2 linked regions of the Macaca fascicularis genome follow. The protein of the gene in region 1 binds, or shares a complex with, the protein of each later gene. Links are inferred from orthologs where the notes say so. Each region holds a gene or a part of one and is shown on either strand. Other genes may lie near its edges.

Evidence for each region.
Region 2: the proteins of tubulin alpha-1A chain (region 1) and CFAP276 are in contact, whole or in part, in a cryo-EM structure (PDB 7UNG), measured with the Homo sapiens proteins. The link is inferred for Macaca fascicularis from reciprocal best matches to the Homo sapiens genes TUBA1A and CFAP276. Residues at the interface, in NP_001257328.1 of Homo sapiens: Lys112, Glu113, Ile115, Asp116, Leu117, Leu119, Asp120, Arg123, Lys124, Asp127, Arg156, Ser158, Val159, Asp160, Gly162, Lys163, Leu195, Glu196, His197, Ser198, Asp199, Tyr262, Pro263, Arg264, Trp346, Lys430, Asp431, Glu434, Val435, Val437; in NP_001231954.1 of Homo sapiens: Pro43, Trp44, Arg46, Leu47, Asn48, Thr50, Pro51, Thr52, Ile53, Thr54, Ser55, Arg57, Arg58, Ala60, Tyr62, Asp64, Ile67, Pro68, Lys69, Asp70, Asp71, Phe74, Arg75, Lys90, Ser91, Leu94, Leu95, Asn96, Lys98, Thr99.

Annotation. Positions count from the first base shown.
Region 1 is NC_088385.1:56,001,760-56,005,510, forward strand, and holds the start of tubulin alpha-1A chain, read right to left. Parts: upstream 2,784-3,751; 5' UTR 2,682-2,783; coding exon 2,679-2,681; exon of another isoform or gene 2,123-2,678; coding exon of another isoform or gene 2,120-2,122; intron 470-2,119; coding exon 247-469; intron 125-246; coding exon 1-124. UniProt on the Homo sapiens protein: Tubulin is the major constituent of microtubules, a cylinder consisting of laterally associated linear protofilaments composed of alpha- and beta-tubulin heterodimers.
Region 2 is NC_088375.1:125,240,717-125,243,198, forward strand, and holds part of CFAP276 (cilia- and flagella-associated protein 276), read left to right. Parts: intron 1-2,036; coding exon 2,037-2,153; intron 2,154-2,482. UniProt on the Homo sapiens protein: Microtubule inner protein (MIP) part of the dynein-decorated doublet microtubules (DMTs) in cilia axoneme, which is required for motile cilia beating. May play an important role for the maintenance of myelin-axon integrity.

The DNA.
Region 1 (3,751 bases):
AGGTCAATGATCTCCTTGCCAATGGTGTAGTGCCCTCGGGCATAGTTATTGGCAGCATCTTCCTTGCCTGTGATGAGCTGCTCAGGGTGGAAGAGCTGGCGGTAGGTGCCAGTGCGAACTTCATCTGGAGAAGGAGGGAGAGAAGGATGGAGGGAGTGGGTGAGTGGGTGACTAGCGGAGCCCCCCAGGACAGACCTCCTGTCCCAGCATCCTGGGATCTCACTTGGGTTACTGAGGTCAACTCACCAATGACCGTGGGTTCCAAGTCTACAAACACGGCCCGGGGCACATGCTTGCCAGCGCCCGTCTCACTGAAGAAGGTGTTGAAGGAATCATCTCCTCCCCCAATGGTCTTGTCACTTGGCATCTGACCATCGGGCTGGATGCCGTGTTCCAGGCAGTAGAGCTCCCAGCAGGCATTGCCAATCTGGACACCAGCCTGGCCAACATGGATGGAGATGCACTCACGCTGTGGGAAGGAAAAGTGAAACAATTGTAAAATTAAGGCGTATTAGCATTTCAAACTCTTAGTAAACTTTTAAAAATATTTCTAATAATATACAGATATTTTTCAAAATTATTTGAGGTCACATCCCTAGCACGATACAAAGATTAAGGAAAATGACCTGCTGCAAATGCTGCATATGGGTGTGGTCTGAATAATGATGTCGCCTTGGCCCTGTTCAGCACATGGTACCAGCCCATTGTGCCTACTACCATGCTTGAATAGAAGACTTTTCATATTTAAAAAGTATTCAGTATTCAAAGCACAAATTTTGTAAAATGAAGTAAATTCAATTATGACATAATTGGGATTAATTTTACTGCTTTCTTCCCTTTTAAATAAAGAAGAAAGTTTCTTCTGAATAGGACTGACTTGATATTATAACATGGACATCTGTACTGCAGCTGAGGCAAGAAGCCACACCCTTCTGCAGTCTGTCTGCAGAATCCATCAATACAAGGGGTTTAGACAAGGTCTGCTTCTGCCTTCTGCATTGCTGCATTGCTGTATTTGCTGTGCCTGGTGCTAGCCTGTACTGTCTGCTACATTATTTAACAGAGCAAGCTCTATTTCCAGCAACTGCCTACATGATCTCATTGTGCTGTTTTGCCAGTTTTCCTCCTCTGACCCCGCCCGGGACCATGTGCCTGAATTGAAATGAATTAATGAAGATGCACTAGAACAAAAGACAACGGGATGGGGAGTATAATTCTTCTTTGTCTGTAGCAATTTCATTCCTTTTTTTAAAGAAAAAGGTTTTTCCAGATCTTCTCCACTGTAAAAGCTGAAAAATTATCCGTATCTTCACACACACACACACACACACACACACACACACACACACACACACACCTTCCTAAGTTAGAAACAAGCATCACATGAAAAGGTAGCAAACAAAGAATAAAAGCCCAGTGGAACGATAGTGAAATATTTATTTAAAACAACAAAATAGTATTTTAATCCTGAGATTCTCTACCCACCACATAATATTCATATTCTTTGCATCCAATAGAGGTTTTCTTCTCTGTGGTCTTTAGGGCTACCACTTTCATTGTCTATTCGCTGATGTGGTGGGGGCGGGGCGGAGGGGGGCGGCGGGGAAGGGCGTTTCCCTGGTCCTGACCATCAGGGTACCCTGGGGCTCACAAAGTGGGCTTTCTCCCTCGCTGAACGAGCAGCGCGCGCGCACACACACACACACACACACACACACACACGACCATCAGGGTACCCTGGGGCTCACAAAGTAGGCTTTCTCCCTCGCTGAACGAGCAGCACGCACGCACACACACACACACACACACACACACACACACACTTCAGTCGGTCAGGGCAGGGCGTCCCCAGACCAGACATTAAAGAGTTTGTCAAGTGAATTGTGATTTTGCTCAAGAGAAAAAAAAAGGTCATCTTAATTATAATAGCGAAGAAAACCCTTTTGGAGCCTACAGTTCCGCAATGATGAAAAGTTTTTTTTAAGTCAGCTCCTGACAGAGGAGGTTTAGTGAGGGCGAACCCCGCCCAGTGGCTCCAACGCCATAGAAGCCAGAAACAAACAACCCCGCCCCTGCGCCGCCCTGACACCCGCTGCCCGGGGCTCCAGTAGAAACTCACCATGTTTCCCCGGGAATGTGTGGTTATCTTTCCAAAACGCCAACGACCGCGAGGGGTCTTCCCACGCTAACCCCAGGCTGCGCTTTGTTCCCGTTCCCCCTCCCACATCCCCCAGCTCGCCCAACGCCCCCGCTCTTTTTGGGTGCCTCCTCCTCTCCCGGTCCCCAGAGAACGAGGCGAGACAGAAAGGGGCCCCTCGGCGTCTGCGAAACCGTGCGCACAGACACTGGACCCAGCCGGGACGCCCGAGACCCCTCGGTCGCGGCAGACGGGCTGCCCGCGACCCCGAAAGGCTGTAGGACAACACAGGCGCCCAGGCGCCGCCTTTGTTCCTCCCCAGCGCTCTGCAGCGCCCTGGGCGCAGTCCTGGCCGGGTTCCTGCACCCGCACTGCGGCGGCGGCGGAGCTGGAGGATTTGGGGTAAAGCTAAACCTCACAAAACACACCACCACCCTCGCCCAGAGAGCTTACGAAAGAAAAGAGCTTAAAGATTTTCCAAGCAGAGCCTGGGGGCGCTGACTCCACCCAACGGCCACAAAGAGCCAAAGCCGATTCTCACCATGGTTGCTGCTTCGCGACTGCAGAGCAGATGGCGGAGACAAGGAGGAGAAGGTTGTTGCTTCTTACAGCGCGACTCTTAGGCGGTCGATGTAAGAGAACCTGCGGCACATGGGCGGATGCGGCTCCATATATACAACTCGGTCACCATGGGGATGGGCCGGGGCCTGTTCCTGTTGGTCCAGACCCCCAATCTGCCCAGAGAAGCCAGGACAGGAGACTGGTGATTGGTGCAAACGACGTGGGATGAGGTAATCTCTCCCCCACCCCTTTTTCTCTAGCATCCGTAGACTGTTTGCATCCTTTAGACAAAGAGACCGTGCAGAAGCATTCTGCCGAGCATCCATTATGGGGTGGGGTCGGGGAGGGGCGGAAGAAGAAAGGGGACTGGGGTTGGAAGACTTTATGTTGCTTAAACCTCAAAATACAGTTAAAATTATCTATGTGAGGTTTTTTCCCCCTACCCTTAATAACAGATTTATGTTCAGATTAAATATTTAAAGGAAAATTACTGCCAGCCCCTCCCTCGCAGTATATTAAACTCGACTACATTTTGTTAGGGTTCAATATCTCTAATTGCTTTAAAAATAAAGTGGGAGAGAAAATGGGCGTAATGCTCAAAACGGTCTGGGTAATTGTGATTTTTTTTAATTTAAAAAAAAGATTTAGTCATACAGTCATTCAAAATGGTTTCTCAGGTTCAACTAACTTATTTTCAGAGCTTCTTTTGCAGGCACATGCACACTCGAATAGCTAAATAAAACTGGAAGATGGAAATAATAACCATACTAAATAAAGAAGCGAACAAATAGTTCTAACATGGCAATAATCAACAGCAAGTGCACGTAGAGTAGTTATAATAGTTTACTAGAGGTATTCCTTTATGAGAAGTCTATGTAACACATTTTGTGTGGTGCATTGTCCTTTGGAATGAATCATCTTTCCTGATATAAAATTGGGAAAATACAAGGAGAAATAATTGAGCTCAGAAGTTAGTACTACATGTGTGCAGTTACATATCTGCACTGGACTTTTGTCTGGAAAGTAACAAGCAAAATAATAGTAATAACCAAG
Region 2 (2,482 bases), on another chromosome or scaffold:
AAGACCAGCCTGGCCAACATGGTGAAACCCCATCTCTAATAAAAATACAAAAATTAGCCAGATACACTGGCACACACCTGTAATCCTACCTACTTGGGAAGCTAAGGCTGGAGAATCGCTTGAACCCAGGAAGTGGAGGTTGTAGTGAGCCGAGATCACGCCACTGTACTCCAGCCTGGGCAACAGAGCGACACTCCGTCTCAAAGAAAAACAAAAAAAGGTATGGCTCACATAGCACTTTGCCATACTGGGGAGAAGGAGGATTACAATGTTGGATAGGTCTAATGAGAGTTCTTTTTTTTTTTTTTTTTTTTGAGATAGAATCCTACTTTTATTGCCCAGGCTGGAGTGCAGTGGCACAATCTCGGCTCACTGCAACCTCCACCTCCTGGGTTCAAGCGACTCTCCCTCCTCAGCCTCCCAAGTAGCTGAGACTACAGGCACCCACCACTACCCCCAGCTAATTTTTGTATATTAGTAGAGATGGGGTTTCATCATGTTGGTCAGGCTGGTCTCAAACTCCTGACCTTAGGTGATCTGCCCACCTCAGCCTCCCAAAGTGCTGGGATTACAGGGGTGAGACACCACACCCAGCCAGAGTTCTAATAGGTTGTTAGTTGCACTGACTGGAATTCAGTCAAATGATATATTGGATTCAACCGTTTTTTAATACCATGTGTTAGGTCAGTGTGCTAGGAGCTGGGGATACAGTGGCGAATATGGCATTTTACATATAATGAAGAAATCTGTTACATGCTTTTTACGTTCATGCCTGTGGAGCTTTATTGAGAACTAATGTGCAGTGTACTTTTTCTGCCATTCCTGCAATCAGTGACCCTTCCCTGCTTACTGGAATCTTTGTCTTACCTGCTTAGACATTGCACTCGCCTGATTCCGTCTCTGATTGCTTCTCTGGGGTCCTCCTCATTCCCAGTTACAATCCTCACAAACCAGGTCTTTCCTTTTGGCCTGACTCCATTTTGCAGGCTTCAGCTACTACTTCATGTGGACAACCAATCCTTCTGAGCTCTCCTCCAACAAGTTACACCTCCAGTTTTCTACCTGTTATTTGCATTAGAATGTCTCATCTTTTCTTTTCTTTTTTTTTTTTTTTGAGACGGAGTCTCGCTCTGTCGCCCAGGCTGGAGTGCAGTGGCGCGATCTCAGCTCACTGCAAGCTCCGCCTCCCGGGTTCACGCCATTCTCCTGCCTCAGCCTCCCAAGTAGCTGGGACTACAGACGCCCGCCACCTCGTCCGGCTAATTTTTCGTATCTTTTTAGTAGAGACGGGGTTTCACCGTGTTAGCCAGGATGGTCCTGATCTCCTGACCTCGTGATCCACCCGCCTCGGCCTCCCAAAGTGCTGGGATTACAGGCTTGAGCCACCGCGCCCGGCCCTAGAATGTCTCATCTTTTCTTCAAACTCAGTACATCTAAACCTGAGCTCATCATTTTTCCTATCTGCTCCCAACTCTTTACTCCCCTCATCCCACTCTATACCTTCTCCTATATTCCTGGCCTGTTTCTGTCAGTTCTCACTAAGAAAACTTAGGAGGATCAAGAGCCTGGGGAGTCTTGCCCCATACCATTCTTCTCTTTGCAGATGTCTGAGATTCAGATAAAACCAGATGGGGCCGGGCGTGATGGCTCATGCCTATAATCTCAGCACTTTGGGAGGCTGAGACAGGTGTATCACTTCAGGTCAGGAGTTCAAGACCAGCCTAGCCAACGTGGCAAAACCCTGTCTCTGCTAAAAATACAAAAATTAGCTGGGCATAGTAGCACATGCCTGTAATCCCAGCTACTTGAGGGGCTGAGACAGAAGAGTCACTTGAACCCAACAGGCAGAGGTTGCAGTGAGCTGAGATCATGCCACTGCACTCCAGCTTCTGTGACAAAGTAAGATTCTGTCTCAAAAAATAAAACAAAAAACACAAATAAAACTGGATGGAATAAGGCGATGCTACTGAAGCTAACCACATCAGCAAGGCTTTCTGTATAACCAGGTTGTCCTGGATATGGTTTCTCTTTTGCAGAAATTGCCATACAAGAACCCAACTCACCTTGCTCAGCAGCAGGAACCCTGGAGTCGGCTCAACTCAACCCCCACAGTTACTTCCATGAGGCGGGATGCCTACTATTTTGATCCCGAGGTATCTAGCATTGAAATATTCCTCTTTGCAGCCATTTAGGGTTTTTTTTTTTTTTTTTTCCTGTCACCCAGGGTGGAATGCTGTGGCCTGATCATGGTTTACTGTAGACTGAACCTCCCAGGCTCAGGCAATCCTCCTGCCTCTGCCTCCTGAAACTATAGGCATGTGCCACGACATGCAGCTAATTTTTTTTTGAAGAGATGAGGTCTCAATATGTTGCTCAGGCTGGTCTCAAACTCCTGGCCTCAAGTGATCCTCCCATTTCAGCCTCCCAAAATGCTGGGATTATAGGCACGAGCCACTGCACCCAGCCCTTAATATTCTTTTTG